2 linked regions of the Bombyx mori genome follow. The protein of the gene in region 1 binds, or shares a complex with, the protein of each later gene. Links are inferred from orthologs where the notes say so. Each region holds a gene or a part of one and is shown on either strand. Other genes may lie near its edges.

Region 1 (10,982 bases):
TATTTCGACTTTTCTTATGGCAAGACCATAATGGGTTCTTTCATTTGTAACATACCGTGATGCGTTCACTATGATAGATAGACTGATAGAACTTACAGATGAATGTTTGGACAAGTGATGGTTCCAAGCATCGTTGTTCAAGAAACCTTTGTAGCAGAGCTGACACTTGTGCGGAGAGTTTTTGTAGTTTTTAGAATATTTCCGTTTCATTATCTCTTCTAACTGCTTTTCTTTCTGTAATTGTTGAATTTGTTTAATTAGTCCTGATGTGGATAGCAATCTACCGATTCAATCGATCTTGTCTTGTCCAGACCGAATGCAGATTAAGTCATATAATCCTAATCATTCCAGATTAGAATTGGTTTTAATATTTCCTTATTTGTGAGAGAAACTTATTAATTTGCATCTTACTAGAAGTGTTACTTACGCTTAAAATCTGTATGGTACAACATTCGTTTAGATTAATTTCATCTTCTGATACTTCAAGTGTGGTCCTTCTAATTTTTTCCATAGGATATTCAGAATCTGTTTTAGAAATATTAGATTTACTAATCCGCTTCGGTTGTTTAACTCCAATTTTCTCTGATGGTGATGACGATATATCATCGATTGTCTGGAATATTTTATAGAATTGATACAGTTAAGTAGGTAAGGTTTTATATATACGAAATAATTGGATTTTTTTTTAATCTTTATTAGAGCCATACACTTATTAGGTTAAGTCGGCTATTTTTGTAATTGATGAATGGAATACGAAAATTTTACATAATTATGAAGCATTTTAATCAACAATAGATGATACGAATGTTTGATCTTTAATGAATATTTTCTCGATTATTTTATTAATTTAATAAGACTGGTGTAGTGTATTAGTGCTGGTATTTATTGTCCTTTTCATTAAAAAGGATTACTAAGTGCTGTATAGATATAACATCAATACACAATTAACTAACATGTTACCCAACATGTGTGCTTAAATTTATATTTCACTAATTAAAATAATAACTCAGCACCGAGTACGGACTTTGAACAGAGTACGAGTAAATTACAAGAAACCTGAAGTATCTAATATTCTAGAACACTTACTCTCACTCTTTGCACAGCAGCAGAGCCTGGTCATTGTGTCATTATATAATTTTAAGCAACTCAAATACTTTACAATTTAGTGGTGAGTGCCGTATGTGTTGTAAGGAAAATAATATTAAAGTAGTTTTAATTAAGGCCGTTATGGGTTCAATTTGGGTATAGCAGTCCACTCTCAATTCTGACCACATCATAGAAGAATCTCATCCTTAAAAGATTTTAGTCTCAGTAGGAACCAAAGGGAAAATATTATGTTTTAGGTATGTGTATGTAGAATGTACTCATATATGAGTGAACTAAATATCTGTAAACTTCAGAACAAAACCTGGAGCTCTTTATAAGTATCAGTTATCACTTTACATGTGTTATGTTACAAATGTTTTGGTTCAACTTTTAGTTTGTAAGACTGTAATAAATAAATAAATAAATAAATTATGGTTTTAAACCTTATAAGTTTATGAATAAAATCTATGAACCAGTAAAAACAAAACTATATGTAAAATCTATGAGTTCTTTGCATATATTAGTGAATGTGCTCAGACGGTATGAATTTATAACCTAAGTCCGTAAACATCTCTGCATGAAATATTCCCGTTGATCTTGACATGTGAGATCAAAAGATCATGCTACCCTACCACCAGCAATTTACACTTAATAACACTCACATCAACAAATTGGAATTCTCTACTCGATACAGCCTCAATTTTGATGTCATTTTCGCTCAGATTACTATTGGTATTAATTTCTTCTTGTAAATGTACCAACGATAGTTCTTTAGAATCCAACTGAGATTGTAAGTCACTATAATCTTCATCGCTTAGGTATTCAATATTGCAATAGTCTTCTGAATTTGTTTCATTTATTTCTAATGAGTCTTCATTTTCTATAATAATATTATCATCAGCTGGAATGTCCAAATATTCTGTAGGAGAATCGTTGTGGAATAAGTCTGTTGGTGTGACATCCGTTTCAGTATAAATAGTCAATGATTTTTTCAAATAGTGTTTATCTAATGATTTTACTGATTCAATATTGACCTGCAAAACATTCTTGCTCTTTTTATTTGTTTTAATTATAAACTAGCTCCTGGTGTTAGGTGGTAATGGTAGTCCATAGACATAACAAACAGCATGAAAGCCATCAACTATCTTGAAACATGATGATGCTTTTTTTATTGCTTAGTTAGAGGTAGAACCTCTTGTGAGTCGGCACTGGTAGGTACCATCACCCTGACTATATCTGCCGTGAAGCAGTAATGTGTTTCGGTCTGAAGGGTAGGGCAGTCGTTGTAACTATACTGAGACCTTAGAACTCATATCTCAAGGCGGGTGGCGCATTTACGTTGTAGATGTCTATAAGCTCCGGCAACCACACCAGGTGGGCCTTAAGCTCATCCACCAATCTAAGCTATAACAAAAAAAAGTTTAATGAATTCATTACAAGCAGTTTGTTTACTGTTAAAAGATCTCTAGAAAACACAAAAGGAAGGAAGGTTTTTAGTATGTGTGGATTTATTTATTATTTTATCACGTAATTAATCCTTGGAAATCTTTTGTGAGCATGTGTTAGGATTGTTTCCATAATATGACACCAATTCAGTTAGAATAATCAGCATGATTTGACACACATTTTTTAATAATTTATATTTAATATTTCATAATTGAATAATTTTATGTAATTTAGTTTTGTCTAGTTTCCCAATTTTAGATCTACAGTTAGTTAAACTTATATTTGATTATATTTTTGTTCAGCAGAGAGAAAAAGCTAGAACAAATCATAGCACTAACTTCTACGATCCAAAGAATATGCATCCTATACTTATAAAAATGTCTAACAAAAGGTTTGAACAAAATCTAATATTACCTTTTTACCAGACTTTAGTATTTTATAAAATAAGGATTGTGCAACTAAGCATTTACTTTTAAATCTGCTATACTTTTTCAATAATCCTGCACAAAGATAACATACACACTGTGGTAGATCTGGAGAACATTCGGGCTGCAAAATAAATAAAAACATCGTCAATTAACAAAGTATGAATAAACAATTATAATCCCAAAGCAATTAAGCAGCAAGCAGCGAATCCAAATAAGGTATTATAATTTTTTTTTTTTAAATACACATGTTTTTGTTTTGATACACGTTTTTTTATTGAAAATTGGAACAATGTAGGACAGTAAAAAAAAGGCCGACCTATCTACTAGTTTATAATTATTCGTGCTCTACGGGATTTGAGGTTAGAATTGTTGTTTTTATCTTAGAAGTTGCATTTACTTTTCACGGAATATCATTATTATGACAAACTGTTTAATTCACTATTAAATATTACAAAAACCAAATTCAATTCCTATACAAACTAGAACCCGGTCAAACGTTACAAATCCAACACAATAGCTTTTCCGAATGAATGTAACTTACGTTAACTTCTACGATATCTTCATAATAGGTCTCCAATGGATAAAACTTTAAACTGTACATTTTAACATTAAATTCCAGACAGATCCGACAGACTGTATCGCTCCCCATAATTATCAAAATAACAATGTTTTGCTATGTTAATTTTGTCATTTTGTCACTATTTGTGTTTTTCTTTCTTACACTTTTTTTAAGTGATTTTATGACCTGGTAACTAAGACCTTTAGGTCATGTCTTATTTTAATTTATAGGTATTCTTATTTTTATGAAAAATGATAATATGGAGTGAAATGAAATCAAGATGATAATTTTGAGACATTAATCAACTAGGATGAAATAAAATGAAATGAGATGAGATGATATGGGATGAAATATAATCGCAGTAAAATGGTGGTCATTTATCATTTCATTTCATTTCACTCCATTTTATCATTTTTCATAAAAATAATTATATAAATTAAAATAAGACATGACTTAAAAGTCTTAGTTACCAGGTTATAAAAGCCATTAAAAATTATTAGTTTTTAATGTAGGTAGTCTGCAAGTAATAGTGTTCTGTGGTAGTCTGTCACATAGATTATACACTTAATATATGTCTGTCACTCGAATCAAAACAAAGTGGTTATTTAATTAATTCATGTATTGCTTGACTTGTTTGTTTATAATTATTTAAAATAGATAGTTGTGAAGGGCTTATATTTTCACCATGAAGTATGTCACTAATAAATGAATATATAAAAAAAACAAATACCATTAATTTAATAATCTCATTACTTTTTCAGGCTAACTGTCGATGGTTTATTGGTCTATTTCCCATACGATTACATTTATCCGGAACAGTATGCTTATATGTTAGAGTTAAAACGTGCATTGGACGCTAAGGTATTCAAAATCTGTATTAAAAAAGGAATCTACTTTAAACAAAATCCTAAAATTTTAAGGTTATGTTGTGTATCTTGCTTGAACTTGTAGGGACATGGATTGTTAGAGATGCCTTCCGGAACCGGAAAAACCATATCGCTCCTGTCTTTAATCGTAGCTTATATGATACAGAACCCTCATCATGTCAGGTAATTAAAATGAACAAGAACATTAATGATTAAAATTAATTAATTATAAAAAAATATGTACATATACTTTTTCAGAAAGTTAATCTACTGCTCTCGTACAGTGCCAGAAATAGAAAAAGTGTTAGAAGAACTAAAGAATTTATTCAATTATTATGAGAAATCTCAAGGAGAGAAACCGAACTTAACAGGAGTTGTTCTTAGTTCCAGGAAAAACTTATGTATTCATCCTGATGTAAGTTTCAATTTATAAGTCTGAACAAAAAATATTGTGCATTTGTTATCTATGATTAGTACTATATTTTTGGAATTATCTTCTTCTTTCTTTTCTATTTCCCTAGGCCGTGATGTAGGGCTCAAATAAAATTCTTCCATTTATATCAGTCTTGGGCAGTCTGTTCTAGCTCCTCTCATGTCATGTCCAAAACGCCCAGTTTCTGCTCTACTTTTGTTTTGGAATTATTTTAAAACAAATTTAAGTAACAAATGCATAGACAAAAAATATTAGAACCTTCCACCCTTGACCCATGCTCTATTGATTTGTGATTGCTAAATTTCAGTATCAGGATACTGGATGAAACACTTGTACGTAATTTAATACCTAAAAAGTAGGTGCCATGTTTGTGGCTTTATCATTCTGCTAGAAAAACATAAATGATCATAAATTGTTTTCTCCTTTTGAGTGCTCCTCAAATAGTAATCAGCCTAAGGAACTAGGGCATAGATTCCAGTTTGAAACAGCAAGATAAATAAAAAAAATTGAAATTTTTAACTAATGAAGATTTACAATATATAACAAAAAGAGACCTCATGAAACTTATTAAAATAATTAAAAAATACTTCATTCCCGAAGCTCTTATTTCATAAGCCCTTGATTTATTTATTTCAAAGAGAAACAAAAGCACTACAAAATTTTATTAAAGAACTTAAGTTAATTATTAAACTTATAGGTGACTTTTGGCATCATGGGAAATTTCCACCAAATAAATAATGTGGACCACATAATAATATGATTACCTCTCATCACTTCATTTGAAAATAATGCGTAGAGAAAATGCATACTTAAATTTATTTTATTAATAGGATATTATCGAAAAATTAATCTATTGTAATTTTTTTTAATAACAGGTATCAAGAGAAAGAGAAGGGAAGCTTGTAGATGGCAAATGTCATGCCCTCACAGCAAGCTATATACGAGACAGGCATGAACGTGATAGCTCTGTGCCAATTTGTAAGTTCTCGCCTTGATATGAGTTGTCTATTATCAAAGGTGGCAATCTGTGCATTTGGACAAAAAAATTTTATTGATATGTTTTTTTTATTTTTTTTTTATTGCCTTTGTAGGCAGACGGGCATACGGCCCACCTGATGGTGAGTGGTTACCGTCGCCCATGGACTTCAGCAATGCCAGGGGCAGAGCCAAGCCGCTGCCTACCGCTTAATACTCTCCACAAGCCTCGTTTGAAGAAGGACATGTCATAGCGCTCGGGAAACACCATGGAGGGGAGCTCATTCCATAGCCGGATGGTACGTGGCAAAAAAGATCTCTGGAAACGCACTGTGGATGATCGCAGTGGCTCCAGGTTGTATGGATGAACTCTACTCCGGTGGCGGGCGGTGCGATGGTAAAAACGAGATGCTGGTATCATCTCGAACAATTCCTCAGAGCACTCCCCATGGAACATACGGTACAAAATACAGAGGGAACCGAAGTCCCTCCGCAGACCCAGAGGCTCCTATTGATATGTCAATACAGATTGATTTGAATATAATCGTCTCCTTCAAAGAATACGGTTCAAAACCTGCATTAAATAAAGGTTAATACTTAACCTGTTATTTATCTAAGATGTCGTTCAGAAGAGTTTTGTGACTGCCAATGGAATACAAAGTCAATAATTCGTTTTTCTGATTTACCAATCATTGTCCAAAAGTCAGATTGCCGGCTTTGATAATAGTCGACTCATATAAAATATGTCTAAATTAATCTGTTTTTTTATTTTTATTTATTGCTTAGATGGGTGGATGAGCTCACAGTCCACCTGGTGTTAAGTGGTTACTGGAGCCCATAGACATCTACAACGTAAATGCGCCACCCACCTTGAGATAAAAGTTCTAAGGTCTCAGTATAGTTACAATGACTGCCCCACCCTTCAAACCGAAATGCATTACTGCTTCACGGCAGAAATAGGCGGGGTGGTGGTACCTACCCGCGCGGACTCACAAGAGGTCCTACCACCAGTAGTTACGCAAATTATAATTTTGCGGTTTTTATTTTTATTACACAATGTTATTTCTTTCACCTTGGAAGTTAATCGAGAACATTTGCTTATTATGTATTTTATTAGTATATGAAAGACTTGCATAGATATAAGATATTTACAACCGCTATATGTAGCAACTTGATTATTTATTTATTTCACATGCCGATAAGCATCAGTCACTGCTCAGTATCCTGTGGGCTGTACCTGCTACTGTGGATAAAAAAACTATTACTGTATTTTGTCATTGTGACCCCATAGACACAGGCTTAAATAGCTATGTATCTTGAGATAATACAACTTCACAATGGAGCTGCATTATGTAACACGTTGGTAAAGGTTATATGCCTGGGGATCTTTGGATAAATATTCAGATCCTCTTAAACTCATATTTGGTTAGACTTGTAGAACTAAATGAATATTATTGCAGGTCAATTTTATGAGGGCTTCAATCGTGAAGGCAAAGAGTCTATGTTACCATACGGAGTCTACACTATGGATGATATGAAACAATATGGTGCTGATAGAAATTGGTGTCCATATTTTCTTGCGAGATTTGCTGTGAGCAGTAATTTAATTAATTTTTAATTTGTTTTGAATTTTTTTATCATTTACTTTTATTTTACACTGTCATAGTTCGTGTTGTGATGAGGTAACAAAAAACCATAGACTTTGATTCTTATTGGATTAGACACCCACGATGTGAATATAAATATAATTTTTTTTTATATTAATTAGTTACCAAACATATATTTGGTTACAATTTCTACTAATCTCTCTTTAATTAATTAATTAAATTTCTCTTTAATTAATTGACGTTTTTAGTATTGTATTTCAATAAAAAATAATTGTCATATTTCATCTATTCACTGAAAGCTATCTACTACTACTTAAGCCAGCATCAATTTCAATAAGATGGTAGTATTTTTATCCTGCACAGGTGAGGACTATCGTTGTACCTATTTCGTCTATGAAGTCTTAATGTGACTAGTTAAATAACTAGAACTTCCACTTCATGTCTTGAGGTTTGCTACATTTACTGTGTGGTGTCTATCACCTCTGGTAACAATTTAACTTAATAAGGTGGGTCGCAAGCTAATCTTCCCATCTAATTCAATATCACGGGTATATTTCAGATAATTCACGCTGAGATAGTGGTGTACTCATATCACTATTTGCTAGATCCAAAAATAGCAGAAGTTGTCTCGAAGGAACTGAACAGGGAGGCGGTGGTCGTGTTTGATGAGGCTCACAACATAGACAACGTGTGTATAGACTCCCTTAGTGTGAAGATCACGAGGCGGACCATAGACAAGAGCTCGCAGGCATTACAGCAACTTGAGAAGACTGTTGCAGAGTGAGTAATTAAGTAGCTGCTTTCCTTTTTAATTACTGTAGTGCGGTAGACGACGGGCTCACGACCAACTTTGAACGTCTTTTGAATCGCACGGGTAGGTACCACCACCCTGCCTATTTCTGCCGTGAAGGTTTGGGCAGCCGTTGTAACTATACTGAGATCTTAGAACTCATATCTCAAGGTGGGTGGCGCATTTACGATACGTTATAGATGTCTATGGACTCCGGTAACCACTTAACACCAGGTGGGCTATGAGGTCGTCCACCCATCTAAGCAATAAATAAAAATAAAACAAAAAGAATTTATGCAGTCATTAATATGAGGTAGAGCTGCTATAGATATAGATAGTTCCTATAGGTAATTGGAACCTCAGAGATATTTGTAACCTGATGTCCATCTCGTCAACCACTTCACAGCCGGTGGACCACAATCTTACTTGCGCATTGAAGTAAAACAGACTTTTACAAAGATTTTACAATAGATAGATAGATTTTACAATTATACAAGTCTTAGGTTCCAATTACACAAGAGAAAATTTGAACTTAACAGAATTCGTGACGAAGACGCGGCTCGTCTTACGATGGAGTACGAGCAACTGGTGGCAGGGCTGAAGGACGCCGCCATACAGAGGGAGACTGATACAATACTGGGCAACCCTATTTTACCCGATGAAGTGTTGAACGGTGAGCAATTGTCATGGCTAACGTTTTAATTACAACCTCATTGACTGAGAGTTTCATTTAAAATTGTATTACTTATTTAGAAATATATTAAAAGTTAAAAGCTATCCCACAAGCAGATTTAAATATTTTTGTAAGGAGTTTTAAGTACACATGTGTAACACTTGTACACGAATAAATTCTTTGAAGAAGGAATAACATCACATAACAAACATGAAATGCTGAAATTCTTAATGCCGGTATGGGTAAATACTAGAACCCTGCCTATTTATGTCACGAAGCAGCAACGTGTTCCGGTGTGTAGGGTATGTCAGCCGTGCTGACCGAATGGTTGTCTGTAAAGTCGGTATACGGACGATAGCTTTACGTGATAACGTCAGTAGCACAACTATCCGAACTGCCAGCTCTGACGTCACGCGAAAAGAGAGTTATATGCGTCATAAGCCAACGCTTGGGCCAATAGTTAGTGCTTTTCTATCGCTTGTTCCGCGCTCTCGCTTGCACGCCCAAGCGGAACGCGATACTTTTTCGGGCGTGCAGCCGGTGTTCATCGATTTTATTATTAGGGAGTCCAACACTCTAATATATATTAGCGTATACATTAAGTACCTGTATTTTCTACATGGATACCAAGTTTCAACTCAATCGGATGCACGGTTCAGTAGTTATAACGGAGAATCCGTAAAAACCACTGTAGATTTATATATTAGTATAGTTTATCACCTTATCGATAGTTTTGTTTATAATTGCAGAGGTTGTACCCGGTAACATCAGGAACGCCGAGCACTTTCTCAGCTTCCTGAAGCGGTTCATCGAATATGTGAAGACCAGACTGCGCATACAGCATGTGGTGCAAGAGTCTCCTGCGGGTATGCATTACTTACGGAGAAGTCCTGATTGATCCGTTTTTGCCTGTGCAATAGCGGGCTACGCCCATCGTCACGGCGCGAACGTTAATATCCACATTTAAGGGGTTCAATGAGTATTCCGTGTGGTAGTGTGGTAGTGTTGTACTAAATAATAATAATAAAGGATAAAGAAGTTTAACTTCTCGTTCTTCTCTATATGTACGAAAGTTAGCAGAAAATACTTTAGTTAAAAAAAGTCATTATTCATAATATTGGTAAATTTCAGAGATCTTGGAAAAAACAGAAATTGATGTAAAGAAAAAGAAATCGCTATGACATCCGCTATGAGATATGACATGTCGTCAAATGAGGCTTACAACGAGTACTCAACGGTAGACAGCGGTTTTTTTGTGTCCCTGGCATTGCTGACGTTCATGAGTGACGGTGACCACTTACCATTAGGTTTTCTTTAATTTTTTTTATTGGGTTTTTTTTATTTAGATGGGTGGACGAGCTCACAGCCCACCTGGTGTTAAGTGGTTACTGGAGCCCATAGAAATCTACAACGTAAATGCGCCACCCACCTTGAGACAAGTTCTAAGGTCTCAGTATAGTTACAACGGCTGTCCCACCTTTCAATCCGAAACGCATTACTGCTTCACGGCTGAAATAGGCAGGGTGGTGGTACCTACCCGGGCGGACTCACAAGAGGTCCTACCACCAGTAGGTGGGCCGTACGCTCGTCTATCTTCGAGGGCAATAAAAATAAGGAAAGAAAGAAGAAAATTTCGTGCAAAGTGACTCTCATCATGTTGAAATTAATAAGCACAGTATTATGGGACAATGGCTAGAATGTCTAGTAGAACATTATGCCCAGTAAAATTACGATCAACAGGTTTCTTAAAAGACGTATCGAGTCGGGTGTGCATAGAACGGAAGCCGCTACGATTCTGCGCATCTCGCCTCGCCTCCCTGATGAGAACGCTCCAGATACCGGATCCGTCGCACTTATCATCGCTAGTCCTGATCACGCATCTCGCGACCCTGGTCTCGACCTACACCAAGGGCTTCACGATCATAATCGAGCCCTTCGACGACAAAACGCCGAATGTTTCGAATCCTATATTGCATTTTTCGTGAGTATTTCCTTATCAGTAAGTTGTATGTTTTGTGTGATGCAAATGTTAAAATTCTAAAATAGTGCACGTCACATGGCAGAAGTGAAACTTCTTTAACGACAGGATAGATAACTATTTTCTTCGAAAGCCCGATAA
Region 2 (10,471 bases), on another chromosome or scaffold:
AATCATTTTTTACAACAAAATCATTTCCTTCTATTTCAATTTTGTCATACATCCATTTTCTGTTAATTCTGAAAAAGAATTTAATCTTAGAATTATGTGTATAATTATGAATTACTATTTTAAATAAAGATAAATGTTCAGTGAAATACACCTTTGATTTATTAAAAGATAAGTAAGTTAATTTTTTTAATTGCTAAAGGAGTAACTGAGATGAGATCACGAAATTTGTGCATTTGCCGTCATTAAAAACTTGGGCTATCTACATACCACCTTAACTCATAAGATCAAAGTGTTGTAATAGCAGTTGTCTTATACTTCAAAGGGATACTCATAATTGTTTCATGACAAATTGCTAAAATGGTAACAATCTTACCTAACAAGTCCACTGTATGTGTCACTGCTCATAATTATGCAATTTAATAAATTTTACAGGAGAATAAGGGCTTTAAAAAAAAAAGTTTTGATTGCTTAGATAGGTGGTCGAGCTCACAGCCCATCTGATGCATCTATAATGTAAATGCCGTCACCCACCTTGAGACATGAGTTCTAAGGTCTCACTTTTAACAGTACAAAAGCTGTCATACCCTTCAAACCAAAACGCATTACCTACTGCTTCACAGCAGAAATAGGCAGGGTGGTGGTACCTTCCCGTGTGGACTTCTAAGACGTCCTACAACCAGTAATAAGTGTTGTACCACAGCATTTATCTCTATCTGATATCCATGATTATTTTGAAAGATTAATTATTGTTTAAAATTAATATATTGTTTATACCTGCACTCATGGCCACATTTATTGGAATTGCAGTTTGCACATGGAAAATGGCATCCGGGACACTTCTCATCGAGGCAATCACACAAGTCTTTGCCAGTTTCAGCAATATGACCGTGGTCATCATAAATTCTCTTCACTTTTCGACTGCAACATTAGAAATATTGACTATTAAATTGATGAAAATATATTTATATATATTACAAATTCAGACTTGAACGGATTCAATAGAATAGAAATTGTTTCAACTTACGAAGTGAAATATTTTTTCCTGTTTGCTTTTCTACGTTCACGAGCTGAATTTTTAGGATCAAAATTATCTAAGAAACGCATCTTTTAAAAAGTACATGCTACAAACACAAAATAATATTAAAAAAATATTCTCTTCCGCGCGTTATTACCCGAATACAAACGATATTTAATTTATTATTATTATTATTTATTATTATATATTTATCCGGTGGAAGATTCTGCGAATTCTGCGACTATTTTTGTTAGGCCTAGTGTTAGCAAATTCTCTCAGGTTTAGCTAGTGAGGTGAGCTCACCTACCCGTCGGTGAGAAGTACTGAGAAGCTGAAATAGCCAGCTGTAACCGGTAAACAATATATAATCTTACTCTATGCGGTAAACTTTGTGAGCAAATGACCTTGACTGCGCAGAACCGAATTTTAGATCACTTTGGTGGTGAGGGTGAGGCGCGACGGCAGGGGAAATCGTATCGAGCGCGTTGTTGGTAGATCAGTCGAACCTTGCGTCCCGCACCGCGCCCTCGTTCCCATAGATTATACACTTAATATATTTGAGACTCGTTCCGCTTGCTCCCAAAAGTACGCTTGCGTACAGTGAAAAGTCTATTAATATTAATCGTTGAAGTTATTTGTTATAATTATTATTGTTTGTTGATTTTGTTGTTATTGCTATTTGTTGAGTGTTTCTTGATTTTTTATAAAAAATATACTATGCCACGTCAAACTGGTGTAGTATTAAAAAGACAAGCTAGAAAAATGGTGTACGACGTATATTGCTTTCTTAAAAAGCAGGGAAATAATGATATGGAAACGGTAAAAGAGACTTCAGAGGCAACAAAAACATCAGTCAGTACTGTTAGGCGTATTATTAATGAAGCGAAGGGCTCTAACTTGCTCGCCGTGTTTCGTACTCCAGGTAAAAAAAGATCAGGGAAGAAGAAAGTTACCGGAATTGATAGTTTCGACCAATCTGCAATAAAAAGATGTATTCATAATTATCACATAACAAACAGCGAACTTCCTACCGTCGAAAGACTTCGTAAAAAATTGAAAGAAGATATAAATTTTAATGGCTCGGAACGAAGTTTACGACGAATTATGAAAGAGCTAGGCTTCAGATGGAAAAGAACAGAAAATAATCGGAAGCTATTAATTGAAAAAAGTAATATTCGACTACTAAGGATCGAATATCTCCAAAAAATAATTAAATATAGGCAAGAAGGAAGACCGATAGTGTACACCGATGAGTCCTATGTCGACTCATCACATGCAAGTGGTATGTCGTGGTCAGATGGATCAACTGGGGGTTTAAAAAAACCAATTTCGAAAGGACAGCGTGTAGTAATAGTGCATGCTGGCTCCGAAGATGGATTTGTTCCCAATGCCCTTCTTTTGTTTAAAGCTGGCACAAAATCTGGTGACTACCACGATAACATGAACTATTTGAACTACGAAAAATGGCTGCGTTGTCAATTGCTACCAAATCTGCCACCAAATTCCGTTGTAGTAGTCAACAATGCGTCATATCACTATAAACAGTCTGACCCCGCTCCAACTGCCAATGCCAAAAAAGTCTATATGAAGAAATGGTTACAAGAAAAAGAAATTCCATACGATGAAAACATGTTGAAACCCCAGCTTTTTAGCTTGATTAAAGCACATAAGGAACAACACAAAACATACAGCATTGATAAAATTTTATCAAACCACAACCATTCAGTGCTTCGCTTACCTCCATACCATCCAGACCTCAACCCAATTGAAATGGCTTGGGCAGCTATTAAAGGGTATGTCAGTAGCAAAAATGTCGACTGGAGCACTGGCAAAGTAATAGAGCTAGTGAAGGAAAAGGTCGCGGTGATGGGTGCTCCGGAATGGGGTAGAATATGTCAAAAGATAAAAGATATTGAGGCGGAGTATGTAAAAAGTGATCATGTGGTAGATTTAGTCACTGATGAGTTTGTAATTTTTGCTGACGATGATTGCGACACGGATGAAGAAAGTAGTGATGATGATGATGATGGTCATGATTATGATAGCGAAAAAACAATTAAAAATACCAGCTCAGCTTCAGCTGATCCAAGACCTGGCACCAGCTCCTAGTTTTGACCTAATGGAAGGAATATCTATTTTACCCCTAGATTAAATTACTACAATTATTAACCTGTATTTTTTGTTCATGTACTAATAAATATATAAATAAATACATATTATGTTGTTTTTAATAACTTAACATTTTTGTACGTAATTGTACGATGCGCGAACTTACCCCCACTACGTCAACTAATGCTCAAGAAGTTTGCCGAGTATTAAGCGAATAGGCAGGTGCAGGTAGGGAAAAAAATGAAAAAATATTTATTTCTTTGTTTACTATGTTTGTTTTTTTAAGGGATTTTATGACCTGGTAACTAAGACCTTTAGGTCAAGTCTTATTTTAATTTTAATGATAACTTTTTTATATGAAAAATGATATTATTAAATGAAATGAAGTTGATTATTGTGAAACATGGCATGAAATGAAATGAAAACGAAATGAAATGAGAAAATATGGGATGAAATATAATCTCAGTAAAATGGTGGTCATTTACTAAGATTTTTCAGTGGACTTTTTGGAGGATCCCGAGAAGTTACGTCCAGCGGCTTTGTTCCATTTTCCCACATTTGTGCACTTTCACAGATATTAAACTGCTAATAAACCACCATTATTACACATTTAAACCCGAAGAAACACTAAATAGACAAAATATAACAAATCACACAATATCACTCCTCGCGTTCCCGCCAAAAAGTCTGTTTTTCTATGTTTGGGAGCTTAATGCACAGATTAGCTAACTCAATCCATAAATAAAATGTAAAAAAATATGCCATTTATTTGCTTTACGGCTCACTGAATTTGGTCCCCTTTTTTAATTTTCGATTTTTTTAATTTTTAATTATTTGTTCGTCGTTTGTTCGTTAATGTTCGCGCGTAACAAAAAGGTAGTAAATACGGCCGTCGGCCATTGCCATCTGACTGACAAAACCGGCGCATGCGCAATGTAGGCGTGAGGTGATAATTTGCTTATTAGATATAAAATAATTAATAATTTCGAATTTACTTGTTTTTATGATCGAACAATCACCAATAGTCGTCGAACAAACAATAATTGATCAAAATTAATTAATCTGAGCAATAAAAACAAAGATATCTAGTAAGAGGGGCCAACTGAAGGGTGATCATTTGTTTAATTAATTATAAATAAATAAAAGACGAACAGATAATTTTACATTCAAACATTGACGATCAAACGACGAACAAATAATTAAAAATAATCCTCGGTTCCCCTCCAATGTCCCGATGATTTTTTCTTTTAAATTTCCACTCCTTTTTTTACGTATTTTTTTCTTCAACAAGACAAGCCCTCTTTTGAACAAAACGTTTTATGGTTTAAGTTCCCTTTGCGGCTTAATTAAACAAATCCAAAAACCATAGATTCTACACACAAAATAACAATCCAAAGCATAGATTATACACTTAATATAAAGCTTAAATCAAATTGGTGATTTAAAATAAAACACATTTTTTATTATTATTTAATTTTTCTCTATTTTAGCACATAATGGCTGACACAACTGGGAAAGAGCAATCAGTTACTAAAGTGCCAATGATATATGTTTGTGGAGGTACAGTGTAACCAAATAATAACAAAACTTCTATCACTTTGTAAAACACTAACACAAAATAACCTAATAATTGTTAGGTATCAGCATACCCCAATAATTGAATATTTTTTTTGTATTTCTTTTTCTCTTGATTTATGAACATTTTTTATAGAAAAAAGAAAGAAACTACTTTTAAAATGTTCTTACCGATAACACTAAGCTTGTCAATGTCTACTAAACAAAGAATTAATAAATCAGTTAATTTGTCTTTTGTGTATAGTAGATTATAAAATTATTCACACTGTCTTATAACATTGTATAAATTAAGGCGTTTTGTTTAATGTGTTATTGTTTTACTATATTTCAAATGGGGAATGCATCTGTATAAATATAAATGTTCTTTAGTAAAGCTAAAAGCCGTAAAAGCTTAAGTGCTTTTAATAAAACTTGTTAATATTAATATTAAAATTTAAAAAACCTAAACTTAAAAGTATTAGAAAAATGAAATTGATTCAATTGAGAGTAAATTATATTGTTTGCCCTTTTCTACATTATTGTTTTTGCCGATCATCTACTTCAACTGTTTAAATGTTGGTTTCTTTAATAAATGCAATCCTGAAACTATAATATGGGTCTGCAAAACAAATGATGCTTTCATTATCATTTTCAGAATGTCACAAAGAGAATGAAATCAAACCAAGAGATCCTATTAGGTGCAGAGAATGTGGTTACAGAATAATGTACAAGAAAAGAACAAAAAGACGTATCCTTTTGATTCTATAAATATATTCTTAAAGTAAAGATTATAGGACTAGGATACAGCCTAGTGATTTTAATCAGTAGAAAGGTATTGACAGGTATCACCCATATTTAATTCCTTCATTGTGGAAGTGATTCGTGATCACATTTCGAGAGTATATTTCTTTGGATATTGGTATATGCAATTTGCACATTTGCATGGTTGCACAGCTTGACACAACTACACCATCTGTTTTATCCTTTAGATCACATTGAGCTTGCAAGAAAATAAATGTAATAAATGAGTCGACTATTATCAAAGGCGGCAATCTGACTTTTGGACAATGATTGGTAAATCAGAAAAACGAATTATTGACTTTGTATTCCATTGGCAGTCACAAAACTCTTCGGAACGACATCTTAGATAAATAACAGGTTAACTATTAACCTTTATTTAATGCAGGTTTTGAACCGTATTCTTTGAAGGAGACGATTATATTCAAATAAATCTGTATTGACATATCAATAAAAAAAAATTGTCCAAATGTACAGATTGCCACCTTTGATAATAGACGACTCATATCTGTTAAAATCTTCAGAAAATTACCCTTTTTGTAGTTTGTGTTGATTTTAAATTCATCATATTTTTGTTCGTAATATTCTGAAAAATTTTCCTTAAGTAAGAATTCAGTGGTTGTGTTTGACGCTCGGTAAACGAATTCTGGAAACAAAACCCTAGAAGATAAGTTCGGTGGATACATCATGCACAGAAGAGTGAAATAAATTTATAATAAGGTTAATGTGTATTTTTGTTACTTTGTCTATGCTCTAATAATACTGACCAATGAAAAAAAATATATACAAGGTAGTTTTTTTATAGTAGATTTATAGATCTACATCATCACTTTACATTATATACTGGTGGTAGCCCATAGACATTAAAACATGAATGCCACCTACCGCCATGATATATGTGTTCTAAATTGTACCCAATAGATATAAGTAATCTGAATGATTTGAAGTATCAATCAACTTATTTGATGTTTCTAAATGAACTACTGCCTTAAAAAAAAAAGACTTAAGTGCAAGAAAAATATGTAACTTTATAGATAGATATCAAATGAGTTCATTATCTTTTTTTTTTATTGCTTCGATGGGTGAATGAGCTCACAGCCCACCAGGTGTTAAGTGGTTACTGGAGCCCATAGACATCTACAACGTAAATGCGCCACCCACCTTGAGATAAAGTTCTAAGGTCTCAAGTATAATTACAACGGCTGCTTCACCCTTCAAACCGAAACGCATTACTGCTTCACGGCAGAAATAAGCAGGGCGGTGGTACCTACCCGCGCGGTCTCACAAGAGGTCCTACCACCAGTAATTACGCAAATTATAATTTTGCGGGTTTGATTTTCATTACACGATGTTATTCCTTTAATCGTAAACATGGGTGGCGGCATTTACGTGTGACCGTTGGCCAGTTTTGCACACGACACCGCTAGTGGCGCCAGACGCAAAGTGTCAATATGGAGTACTTTCGTAAAACTTCCGTTAAATAATAACAACTAATAAAAAAAACAAAAGGGAAATATCTCAGTGTATTTTAATTATGTAACTTCATCATTATAAAGTTTTAACAATTTATTAAAATTATTACCTCTCATAATAAAACACCAGAAAATGTATGTCTAAAATTTTACAATAGCCACAAATATACATTTTTTTTCGATCCATAAAAACTATCAATAAATAATTGTTAGGACTCACGACATTAATATCAAATTTAATTTTTCACACATTCCTCTAAGTCAACTTTTTGCTTACGTTATATAATAGTGAATATAAACATGCTATGGGTATACACATGCATAAAGAAAATTTGAATAAAGAGATTTAATTCCATTCTATAGTTACCAACTCACTAATCATAATCAAAAAGTTTATAGCACATACAAATAACATTCTTGGAAACAAAATACAAAATCATGACAGTTTATGATCAAGTAACTTTACATGTTCTGTCTCGAATTTATATTATGTCCCAATTAGAGAACTATACAGATGACGTAATAAATTTCAATTTATCGGTAGTTGAAATATAAAAATTACATAGAAAAATATCAATTAAAAATCATTTTAAACTTGAAATAACTAAATGATTATCTTTAAAAAGCTTATATTTCTATTCGCAAGTGTTTTGAAAATAATAATTATGTATTTATTTAAAATCATACTAGTGGCTAACAGAGGAGATAATTTCATTGAAAAACTAATATGGAAATGAGCTATTTGTATTCTGTAAAATACGCATTTAAATATGTATTTATGGCTTTGCTGAATTAGTAGAGTTGACTTTAGCTACCTATTGTATCACAGAGTCCTCTTTAAATTCGAAGTCAGCTTCTTCATTAAAAACATTTGGCATTCGAGGACTAAATGTACATACATTTGTCATGTTTAACTTTCAAGCACCCATTATAACAAAGGGGAAAACCCTAGCTTGGGGACGTTTAATATGAAACGTTTAGTACCGAACCATTGAAATTTTATTAGATGGATTTAATCAGTTAGAACAACTTATTATTGTAGATAAGACCGCTTACAGGCCACCTGTGTGCTTAGTGCGAGCTTCTGAACGTTCTCGATAACGTAAAAGTTAAGCCAATTTTGTATGCAATTGGAACCGCCCCTAGCGGCAAACGTACGCAAGCGATCCCATTCCATACAAATATGACCTAACTTTTACGCTATCGAGAACGTTAAAAAAACTCGCACTAAGCACACTGGCTTAAATGGAAAAAGAGCCGCTCGCACAACAATGGAATAGCAAAGAATTGGAAACAATTTTATTGGATAGTGCGAGAATTATAACGTCGGATCACATTTTTGAGTAACATATCGAATTTTGATTTTGTTATTTAAATTGTAAACGGTTTGATCTTATAAGTAATGGTAAACAAGGGCAAGTAAAATTGATAGAGTCCCGTCTGTAATGAGAGATGAAAGGATGGATCATGTATGATTTAAAATAATGTGAATAATGACAATACCAGTAAATAGGCATTCAATTGAAATTATATTGAATATTATCATTTTTCTTTCATGCCAATCCGGAATTGGATTAATATTAGAAACATTATTTGTAGATGTGAATTATTTAAGTATGCATGTTATTTTGTTTAAAATATTTATTTTTTTATTTACCGCACTTTATGTCGCCTCTCGAGACTGATACGATTTATCGTTTCCGCTTGAATGTCTATTTCAACAGTTTTTTCAATTAAAACGTATAGCAGATTTTTTGTATAAGTTTTAGAATTAGGAGCCTATAATTATAAATCATTGATTAGCGTCGATGCCTTTCTGTTGCTATAAGCTTCTTGATCATAATGGTAGATTTAGGTTTTTATCGATTATGTACATATATATTTTAATAGATAGTTATTTATTATGGTGGTACTTAAATACATTTTGTACCTTAATAATTATGACAGTCCCGTGATATGATCAGACACAAGATATTTACAAAAATAACTAAGTAGTTTGTTTTTGAAAATTGATATTCCAATATGGTATAGTACAATAGTAGTATAAGGCGCAGTGCAGCAACCCAGTTCGAAAATATTGTAAAAATGTTATTGTAAATCTACATCGTTATTAAAATAGTTTATACAATATATTATATAACAATATAAGACATATATATACTACAATAAAGAAACATAATGATGATATCATATATTTTAAAAATTTGAATTTGATTTGATTGGTATTATTAATAGTGATATTTTCGAACAGCTTGTGGTCTGCAGCTTCAATGAAGCTTAATTTCATATTAGCGCCATAAAGCTTAATTTCTAGAAAAATAGTTTAACAATGAATATATATATACTTTTCAAATAACAGTACATTATATATAAAAAACTAGGCTCTGTAACCTATCCCTTACAAAAAAGACAAAACATGCAGATCATTGATCATTCACACTAATAATTATTTTTACATTGGACTATAAAAATTAAATGAATAATAGTAATGCATAATAGTAGGAATCAAAACTATACTACTATTAATATAATTTTTTTAAATCGGAGAGCCCAGCTTAAACATGTATACAAATTGATTATAACTTTAAAGAAACTAAATTCAATTTATTTCCGTACATTTTTATGGAAGACATTTTTGTTTTTTATTCATATCTACGTTTAGTGTATGGAAGTTGATATGCCAATTGTTTTAAATTTATGGAAGTAGTAGTTACATAGTATAAATATGAAGTGGTAAATATGTCATACAAAAATTCATACAAAAGTGCTGTTCTATTCTATATATCATCCGACTACTCCTATGACAATGTAATATGTTTGACTGATATTTAAGCGTAGTTTAAAAAATGTGGACCTCTTTTTTTTCTGTCGCAATAATATATCCCATCTAGGTCTTCGTTTTCAAATACAATTCAACAAATATTATCTCTGTAGAAATTACAAATAACAGTATTAATACATAATAAGACTTACATTAAAAGCAAATTTAACAAATTTAATATTACGTGGAGATATTTACAAGATACATATTAATATTTTTCGAATTTTTAATGTTAGAGTATGTTACAATCTTAAAGCGTACAATTGTTTTCACACGAATCTGAGTAACCCCAGCTTTAATAATTACACTTAAATTAAAAACAAAATAAAACTGCACATTAAAATACACTATGTACGTAATATAATTTTGGCACTAAATATCTGTGGCACTACAGTTAACACGTGTTTCCATTTCTTGATCTTCATTACCTTCACTTGTTTTTCCATTACTGTTTTTTTCACTAACACATGCGTTATCGGCGGGTGTGTTATCTTCGTCTTCCGACAGTTCCCTGCCTGCAGGTAGTTCTACTATTGTTAGACCGTTAGGATCTCGATATTCCAATTTTGTTGGATCTTTTTCGTGAAGCTTCCTTGCGAGCAATTGCAAGCTAGCCAGCGAACTATCACAATCTGTTGTGTCTATATCTGTCAAACTAACACCGGCGCGTTCAATCTCGGTGAATGTACCAAAAGGTAATTT

What was found.
Region 2: general transcription and DNA repair factor IIH helicase subunit XPD (region 1) and DNA-directed RNA polymerases I, II, and III subunit RPABC4 share a complex: the UniProt entries of both Homo sapiens proteins name them as parts of the TBP-based Pol II pre-initiation complex. The link is inferred for Bombyx mori from reciprocal best matches to the Homo sapiens genes ERCC2 and POLR2K.

Annotation. Positions count from the first base shown.
Region 1 is NC_085127.1:13,499,963-13,510,944, forward strand, and holds the start of general transcription and DNA repair factor IIH helicase subunit XPD, read left to right. Parts: upstream 1-4,030; 5' UTR 4,031-4,204; coding exon 4,205-4,209; intron 4,210-4,280; coding exon 4,281-4,380; intron 4,381-4,470; coding exon 4,471-4,568; intron 4,569-4,643; coding exon 4,644-4,800; intron 4,801-5,693; coding exon 5,694-5,796; intron 5,797-7,253; coding exon 7,254-7,384; intron 7,385-7,959; coding exon 7,960-8,180; intron 8,181-8,729; coding exon 8,730-8,863; intron 8,864-9,612; coding exon 9,613-9,729; intron 9,730-10,603; coding exon 10,604-10,844; intron 10,845-10,982. Other genes in the region: zinc finger protein ZFP2, read right to left, coding at 97-234, 428-613, 1,749-2,120, 2,947-3,081, 3,502-3,609. UniProt on the Homo sapiens protein: ATP-dependent 5'-3' DNA helicase. Component of the general transcription and DNA repair factor IIH (TFIIH) core complex, not absolutely essential for minimal transcription in vitro.
Region 2 is NC_085111.1:12,246,206-12,256,676, forward strand, and holds DNA-directed RNA polymerases I, II, and III subunit RPABC4, read left to right. Parts: upstream 1-4,427; 5' UTR 4,428-4,620; coding exon 4,621-4,684; intron 4,685-5,333; coding exon 5,334-5,426; intron 5,427-6,092; coding exon 6,093-6,115; 3' UTR 6,116-6,265; downstream 6,266-10,471. Other genes in the region: ARL14 effector protein-like, read right to left, coding at 1-68, 775-918, 1,025-1,104; uncharacterized protein LOC119628526, read left to right, coding at 2,456-3,124; uncharacterized protein LOC101737452, read right to left, coding at 10,142-10,471. UniProt on the Homo sapiens protein: DNA-dependent RNA polymerase catalyzes the transcription of DNA into RNA using the four ribonucleoside triphosphates as substrates.